Linked DNA regions of Oryzias latipes. The protein of the gene in region 1 interacts with the protein of each later gene in a pairwise test. Links are inferred from orthologs where the notes say so. Each region holds a gene or a part of one and is shown on either strand. Other genes may lie near its edges. The genes, in order: aida and pinx1.

Region 1 (4,545 bases):
GGGTACGATAACATAAAATCGCTTCCTCCCACCCCCTTTTGAAAATATTAATTAAACTTCATTTGACAAAATTAATATTTAATGGACTCCATGTCTTGTATTGTATGTATTACTGTGCATGTCTATCCAATTAAGTAATTAAATGACCTCCTAGAAAGTGCATGTATATCTTTATGTGCTTATGTCTTCTTTTACGTTTTAATTTTCCAATCATTTCATAAATAATTATCCTAAGTCTGACATATCTATGGTGAACGTCATTTCACCTTCTTGTCCGTCACCGTCCACTGTCCGTCTTCTTTTCTCTTGAAGGTGCAGTGCAGCCTGGAGATCATCAGAGGACAACTCGCTGACAGGAGCTGGTACGTCACGTTCACCCCGCGTCCAACGGTGACCTGCAGTCGAAACCAATTTAACCACAGTTCAAACTGCTGAAAACACAGGGGGGGAAATGGACCAGAAACACAGAAAAGTATGCGATTATTTAGCTAATTTAGCTAGTTAGCGAACATTAGCACCTCTGTGTTTCCGAACAAGCGAAGCCACTCGGATTTTTTCCCCACTCTCATGAGACACGCCACCTCCGAGTCCGAGCTGTCCTCCTCTTCTGCCGAACAAGATTCCGTGGTTGTACTCTCCATATTATCTCATTTTTTAAAGGTATAGAAACGATATAACGCCGCCGCAACAGTTACTTTGCTCAGTCACATAACGCTCCCATGCTAGCTCTGGGATAATTTTACTAGACCGGAAATCACCGGAAGTGTTCATGTGATGTTTCAAAATAAGGCACCCAACGGTGCTTTCTTACCAAAGAGACTATAATTATATTTTTTATAATAATAAAAATAAAATACATATATATTAAATTGAACGATGATTACATTACACTCTGAAGAGGCTTTTTTTTACTTTAATTGTTGTAAAGTGGTTAAAATGGTTTAAATATATTCTAAAGAACAATTAATGGCTGAACTTATTGCTAACATTTATACTATTTATTAAGTTTAAAACAGCTTGTTTGAAAATATGTCTATACTTTAGTTAAATTGTTTTTTAATAACTCAATAAAGTAATATCAAGCACCACTCTAAAAAATAATGAGTTTGATTGTAAAACACGTGAGAGTTCAAAATATTCCCGATGTATTAAAAGGAAACAACTACAAGGTGCATGTGATTGTTATGTAAGTTACGTTAAAGACTGGAACCTATGTTTGTTTACTTGTTTTTTTTGTGTTATAAACAGGATGAATATTTTTGTTTTGTTTGTTTTGTGTGTGAATTTTCTCATTTTAACAATTATTATTATTATTATTATTATTATTATTATTATTATTATTATTATTATTATTAATAATAATAATAATAATAATAATAATAATAATAATAATAATAATAATAATAATAATAATAATAATAATGTAATAGTAACACGAGGCTTCAGATCTTCCGGGCGACCCCGCGCTTCAAATCGAGCAAACCCAAGGCTTTCGGGCGGGACTTCCTTTCGCCCGCGGATGTCACATCAGGGTCGGCCAGGCTGAAAGGGCTTGGTCGGGGTGTCACCGGTTTGTGCGCCAAACTCTGGACCGGACGAGCAGGCAAACTGGCCGACGCTGGAGCCCCGCAGATGAGCCTCCTCCTCGGATATGCTGTCCTGAGAGCGCCGCACGAATCCTCCCGACAAAATGTCTGATGTAAACAAGACTATCCAGAAATGGCACGCCAGTTTTAGGAAAGGCTCAGACTTTGACTCGTGGGGGCAGTTGGTGGAGGCGATAGATGAATACCAAATGTAAGTCTACAACATGCGTGTTTGCTCCGCCTGTGGTAAAAGCTGCGGGGATAAGGACCGTGGGAGACAGAAGTTGCCCCGGCAGCTGTCAGCAGTAAATACATCCCTGCCCTCCATGATGACGGGATGTGGCAGCAGAGCTCCGTGCGGTTGCTGCATCCCGGTTTCAGTTTCGTCTTGGGTGTTGTGTTGTGTTTGTGTGCGTGTGTGTGTGTTTTCTGCTCTAAAGGAGCCAGCAGCTGCTCCGCGGAGAATTGAGAAACAGTCAGCCACACCCTCTCGTTGTTCTGGGCGGGTTCTTTGTGTTCAGAGAGAAACGCCATTTTTTAACTTTTCAAAAATCACATTTTTCATGAAGTGATCTGCTTTATTACTTAATTATTATGATTATCTGCTGTAATTGTCTTTATTATATTAATATCGGGTTTACCTGGTAGTGCTTTTGTTGGCCACAAGAGGGCGTGAATACACAGACTGCAATTTAATATGTACAAACTTCAAATGTATGGAACGCCGTTAGGGACATTTTCTGCAATATTTCTGCATAAAATGGGTGACCACATGCATTTCCCCCCAAAAAAGAAATAATATCTGGGTTAAAACTGACATTTAAATTGAAAGTTCCCACTCAGATGAATTTTTAACATGCTTTTGTGGCATTTTTCTCACGATGAAGGACAAACATTAAGAACATAAAGTTAACATTTTCCTCTCTAATTTCTTTTTTCCTTATTCAAGAGCAGAAGAAAAAAAATCTGTTTGTAAAAGATTGTATTTGTGACGTAGAAAACAAGCTCCCTGTTCCATTCTTATGCATCCATTTGTAGACAACTAGACTGGACAGCTCGCCATTTTTGTTGCATAATCATAACTAAAAGAGCACTGGGAACACTTTGACAAAAGATCAAAAGATGATCGGAAGGGGACTTTTAAAAATAATTTCAGTTGTGATGGAAACATTTTAACATGTCCTTCATAAAAGCATTTTATTTTCAGTTTTTTTAAGTAAACGATAAGAACTTAACATGTCTGTGAAGAAACTGGATTTTCTAGAAAGGACTGTATTGTATTAATTCGTAACCCCGTCAGTTTCTTGCACACAGAAATAATGAATAATGACTCAGAGACAGTTACTTATCTTTGTTTTATAAGGAGTCATTACTCAAAGCGAGCACACACCACAGGGGCCGTCGAAAAAGGGCAAACTCAGACACAGACAGAGAGATATAAAAAGCGTTACACACACATAGTTTCCCCGGAGCTCCGTTTCGTCTCAAAAGTCACACTCAGCCTCCCAAGGCTCTATTTCTTCGGCTCACTCGCCGCGGCTGCTCCTACACTTATGCCTACACTTCCATCCCTACACTGCCATTCCCACCGAGGAGGGAAGGCGCCTACACTAGCAGCCTCGCGCGCCGCCCACACTTTTCCCGTCCGCGCAGGATGACTCGTGCACGCGCAGCACCTTGCCTGCAAGCGGTGCTCTGTTCAGCGTGCTCGCGCAGCGGACTGCAGCCGTTTCTCTATTCTTCCCCCAACGTTGATGCACGCACACACAAGGACACAGACACAGTCAACATAAAGCCCTAATAAGTAAAGAGAGGACAGACTTTCTGTGTGGCGTACTCACTTCAAGCAATGAACCTCGCCATTTGATGAGGGTCCGAAGTCGCCGAGGGCACCACCGGATCCAAGGGCAAGGGCCGCCGATCCTGAAGGCGGATGTTTCAATGCTGAGGATGTGGCTAGCGGTTTTCGGGCAACCCCCCCCAGGGGTTCCAGCGATGTCCAGGGCGTGCCGGCCGGCTCAGAAGGAGCAAATGTGAAGAAACTGGATTTGTCGACAGTTACTTATCTTTTGTGGAGGTTTTACTTCGTACAAACACGAAGGGGACAGACAGATGAACATGGTGCATTCAAAGTCCGAACCAACGAGCTCAGGGATGGGGTTGGTATAAATGCATTTGCATATTCAGAAGATCGTCCGATGGACCCCGTGTGAAAAACACGCCCACAGGTTACTGCTGGAGAGCAGTTCCAAGGCTAAAGTGAAGATAAGTCTGAGGCCTGCTCAGGAGATCACACATGCACAGAAAAAGGGAGTATGAGAAGAAACTGTTAGAACAATAGCTTGGCTGTGCTGTCTTCAAATGTAATACAATTTTGAGATGACAATACATGCTCAGTGAATTAAGTTTAAACCATTAGTGTAATAAAAGTTAAAGGCAGTTTCTAACTATTCTTCACAATGTCTGATTTATTGTGTTTTGTAAGAACTAACGATGTTCTGTGTTTATTTGTGGTTTTATTTAGTCTAGCGAGGCAAATGCAAAAAGAGATCCACACAACAAGTTCCACAGATTTCACAGAAGAGCAGAAGGTGATCTTATTGATTTACTGCAAATTTATGCAGCGCTCCTATCCTTTTCTGCAGCTAAAAACAACGTTTCTTTTTTCTGTCCAGAAAACTTTAGGGAAGATTGCAACATGCCTGGAGATGAGAAGTGCGAGTCTGCAGGTTTGTGTCACTTTTATTGTCTTTGTGTTTGTGTGTGTAAGGGCAGACATAAAGAAAGTCCACTTGGATGTCACTTTTGGATGTATTTGTGTCAGTTTTGTTGTCCGTTTGCATCTGTAAAATGTTTTTGGTACTTTAAGTCATTTGTATTTCTGTTTCAAATTTTTGGTTTTTGTTGTTGCCTTTTGCTAATTCTGTTAAACATTAATGGTTTTACTTGCATTTTTTGT
Region 2 (4,413 bases), about 8.0 Mb from region 1:
CAGCTCATATTTATTAATAATCACCTGACTGTAATGGTTATGATGTAACTGCAAAATAACTGCAATCAGCGATGTTTGTAAGTTCCGCCAAATTTTGAAACATCATACTTCTCTCTTTCAAGTTCTGTCAGATTACTGTTTCTGTATTTGTATCAAGCTGAGTGGACATTTTAACTCTGTCTGTTTACGTTATTACACTATCAAAAGGAACAATAGGCACAACAAGCACAAATAATTATTGTAAACTAATGCACTCAAAAGGTCCAACATGAGTTTAAAGTCTCACTCCGATCATTTTTTTCATCTATTTTAAAAGCGTTCCATATTGGCTTTTTTAAAATCATGTTTTTTGGGACATAGTTTCTGCAGACCATAAGAAAATTGCCTCCAAGTTGTGGTTGGGACCATTGGCGCGGTGTAAATCCGCCACTAACTCCCAACATTCATCTGTTAACACGCTTTTTAAACAACGACCCTGAAGTTGGCTTCCGATTCACAGCTTCCGATTCGCGAAGGCACTAAAAGAACATTCCGCTGCATTTTTTGCATTAAGATCACCTTAGACCAGGTCCTGTTCAAAAACCGCTGGACCTGGACTGCTCAAACCTGGATTAAATTATAATTAAGATAGTAAAGAACACATTAAACACAGTTTCTGATTTGTGAAACCTTCTTCTGATTTGTGAAAATGTGAAATAGGTTGATTTTTTATCGCATCTTACGCACTGAGTCCACCTTAGACCAGGTCCTGTTCAAAAACCGCTGGACCTGAACTGCTCAAACCTGGATTAAATTATGCATTAGATAGTAAAGAACACATTAAACCCAGTTTCTGATTTGTGAAACCTTCCTCTGATTTGTAAAATAAGTTGATTTTTATCGCTTTTTCTCAGACAAGGTCCTGTTCATGAAATTTGGGTGGAAATGTATTTTTTTATTCCTTAACACTTTTATTTTTTATACTGCATTGTACTATTGTATTTCTCCACACAGGTACGAGCCGGTGGCCCTAACATATCACCTGGGTGACCAAAATCACTTTGTTGCAATACACAGACTTCTGCCCAGACAAAAGCTTGGACCTTTTACGATGCACTACAGGAATCCAAGAACGCTAGACAAGGCGACATCAAAATCTCAACATTCAAAAGAAACTGGGAAACAGATGTCAGATTGGACAAATAGTTATAGTCATGGTTAGCATGAACCCCTGACTTAAGTTTTGTTTTTTTGTTCAATATTTCTTGGTTTGTTTTCTGATTTACTTTAGAGTTCCTGTTACGGTGTTTTCCTTAAAGTTGTCCTTCCCTTGTCCCCATTATCCTTAAATTGCATAAAATTTGATGAAATGATACTATTTCCCACAGCGGTTTTTGAACAGGACCTGGTCTGAAGTGGACTCCGTGCGTAAAATGCGATAAAAAATCAACCTATTTCACATTTTCACAAATCAGAAACTGTGTTTAATGTGTTCTTTACTATCTAATGCATAATTTAATCCAGGTTTGAGCAGTCCAGGTCCTGCGGTTTTTGAACAGGACCTGGTCTGAAGTGGACTTAGTGCGTAAAATGTGATAAAAATCAACCTATTTAACATTTTCACAAATCAGAAACTGTGTTTAATGTGTTCTTTACTATCTTATTTATAATTTGATCCAGGTTTGAGCAGTCCAGGTCCAGGACCTGGTCTGAAGTGGACTCAGTGCGTAAAATGGTATAAAAATCAACCTATTTCACATTTTCACAAATCAGAGGAAGGTTTCACAAATCAGAAACTGGGTTTAATGTGTTCTTTACTATCGAATGCATAATTTAACCCAGGTTTGAGCAGTCCAGGTCCAGCGGTTTTTGAACAGGACCCGGTTTTACGGTGGTCTTAGTGTTTAGGGCCCTCGCGAATCGGAAGCTGTGAATCGGAAGCTAACTTCAGGGTCGTTTTTAAACAGCATTTTTCCCTTCTGCTTGTGATTCAACACGATTTGAATAAAGAAATACTCAGAAATGTCATTTTAAGCTTAATTTTCCTTAAATGTTTCACCCATCTTAAGAAAAAAGCAACGAGAAAGAAGTTCTGAAAAACAAACAAAAACTATATCTGGATTGCATTCACTTTTAAAGATATCAGCATAAGTTTAGACCGCTTACCTTGCCCTTGGACCAACCCATTCGCTCCAGCATCTTCTGGCCAAATTTAGAGTCATCTTTACTCCAAGTGCTGTTCCTGGGGTCAACCGACCACTTTTGTTTCCTTCGGGCTAAATTCACAAAAGCAGCAGCATTGTTACTCAACAGTCTGTCATTAAATAATGACAACTAGACTAGTATATAGAGCTCAAAACGCAGAGTGAATATAAAACAGTGCTGAAGATAAACATATGTAATGTGCTTTAACATTTTTTATACAAACATCATGACAAAAAATACATCTTGATTTTAATCCAAGGACAAGCAAGTGAGAATGTAGCACACACAAACGTGTAAACTACTATCCAGATCTTACAGAGAGTTCTACAAAAAAAATAATAAAATAAAAAATAGGCCACGATTATTTTTCAAAAAATAAACAGTCAAAAAGCTGATTTACAGCGTTTGCAAATCCTTCAGTGTTCGACATATTTTTCAGATACCCCTACTCTTCCTGCTACTGTAGTCAAGCTCTGTGCTTATAAGAGGCAGCCGGGCAAGTTGAAAAACAAATACAGCGATGACTGCAGTTTGACACATGTTGTAAAGTAAGAAACACGTGTTTAAAGAAACCGATGGGGGAAAATGCTAAAGCTAATGCTAACCTTGTTAACACTTTGTTAATGGCAACTCAAAAAACCGTTTATAATTTATACCGTTAGGCATGGTGCTTTGGCTAATATCACAATGAAGAAAAAAAATAAACAAAGAAAAGGAATATATACACACATGTAAGAGAAAAGTACTTACGTTCAGCTAGCATAGACATCTTGGGTCCTCAGTCTTGTGGACGCTCGAGCATTTAGGTACCTTCCAAAATGCCTGAATAAAATAAATCACTGTTGTCATTTTAAACCTTAAGTATCTGTAAATTAAATAAAATGACATTTTTGTTTACAATTTATATATAAAACAATATTCTTTGACTTTTTTATATTTAAACAAAGACTTTATCACCGAACTTTGCCTTTTACAGCCCAAATGTTTTACCAATAGAGGGCGCCACAGCACCTCAGAGTCCGGTTGGGATCTGCAGTGTTACTTGAGTTCAGCTCAAAAGTCTCAACTTCAGCAAACATGTGAACTTCTCCCACTTGGAATGCCATTCTAGGAACTTTTTCAGGTAATAAAAACACGTGAATAAGATGAATAACTGCTATCCAAACCTAAAATACGTTGTATTCTGTAAGGTCACAAAGAAAAGTGACAAATTTAGGTTGTGGAAGAGTGATTTAGGAACTAAATGACATTTTTAAACTCGGATTTTCAGTCCAAAAAACAAACAAACAGTCTCATACCCTAAAGAAAAACAAAAGATTTAAAACAATTATTTTCAAGGCATAACCAAGACATGTTTTGTGTGGTATGTTTATAAAATGTTAGTAAATTCTGTGGGTATAGGAAAAATACACTCATACTACAAAACATTTGCTCGTAGGTCACAGTCAACATTGCATTGGCCAGAGAATAAATGTACTTTTGCGTGAGGATCAGCACCATAACATGTTATTTTAGCCTTATCTATTACAACTGATCATAACAACTTATAATAGCAAACTTTATATTATCTCATAAATGGATAAAACAGTCTGCAAGACAAGAAATAAAAATTTAAACAAAGTAGGATTGCAATAAATGTCAGACAGGCATTCACTGTATAAACTTTGTGCATTCAAAGAAATTGTAGTTTACTTAAAAAACAATACTAATTGTTTGTGATTGGCTGCGGTTTGTAAGGAGGCAGATTCATGTTAGCTGTTAAAAAAAGAAAAAAAGAACATATTAAAAAAAATGTTGCAGCTAAACACACAAGGGAAATGAAAAAGCATAAAACAGAAATGAGCTCAAATTTGTTCCTCAGCATGTTTCTGTAGTAAACATATGGGGTTATTCTAATATTTCTGTTAAGTTTACAATGTGTACTTTGGTTTAAAGCTGTTTTCCTTTTTTTTAATTCACAATGTCTATTTTCCACATTTACAATCTGGTTTTTCATTCACTGTAACCTGATTCTGATTTGACCCAGCGTAAATGGAGAAAAAGTACCAGTAGGTTTTTTTCAACACTAGAAGCAGAGACCACAGCATAACTCAGCATTTTCCAAGCTTGAAATACAAATGCTTCAATTCAAAAAAAAATATTTGAAATGTTTTCTTTTAGTAGAAATAAAGAGCTCCATAATATGCAAAAACAACTAGGCTTTTTTATGACTACTACCCATTATTCTAT

What was found.
Region 2: the proteins of aida (region 1) and pinx1 interact in binary tests that used the Homo sapiens proteins (3 or more experiments, as listed by UniProt). The link is inferred for Oryzias latipes from reciprocal best matches to the Homo sapiens genes AIDA and PINX1.

Annotation. Positions count from the first base shown.
Region 1 is NC_019882.2:5,932,709-5,937,253, forward strand, and holds the start of aida (axin interactor, dorsalization-associated protein), read left to right. Parts: upstream 1-1,494; 5' UTR 1,495-1,690; coding exon 1,691-1,797; intron 1,798-3,427; exon of another isoform or gene 3,428-3,706; intron 3,707-4,110; coding exon 4,111-4,177; intron 4,178-4,261; coding exon 4,262-4,315; intron 4,316-4,545. Other genes in the region: E3 ubiquitin-protein ligase RNF8, read right to left, coding at 267-395, 519-641. UniProt on the Homo sapiens protein: Acts as a ventralizing factor during embryogenesis. Inhibits axin-mediated JNK activation by binding axin and disrupting axin homodimerization. This in turn antagonizes a Wnt/beta-catenin-independent dorsalization pathway activated by AXIN/JNK-signaling.
Region 2 is NC_019882.2:13,955,494-13,959,906, forward strand, and holds the start of pinx1 (PIN2/TERF1-interacting telomerase inhibitor 1), read right to left. Parts: upstream 3,007-4,413; 5' UTR 2,954-3,006; coding exon 2,935-2,953; intron 2,256-2,934; coding exon 2,146-2,255; intron 1-2,145. UniProt on the Homo sapiens protein: Microtubule-binding protein essential for faithful chromosome segregation. Mediates TRF1 and TERT accumulation in nucleolus and enhances TRF1 binding to telomeres. Inhibits telomerase activity. May inhibit cell proliferation and act as tumor suppressor.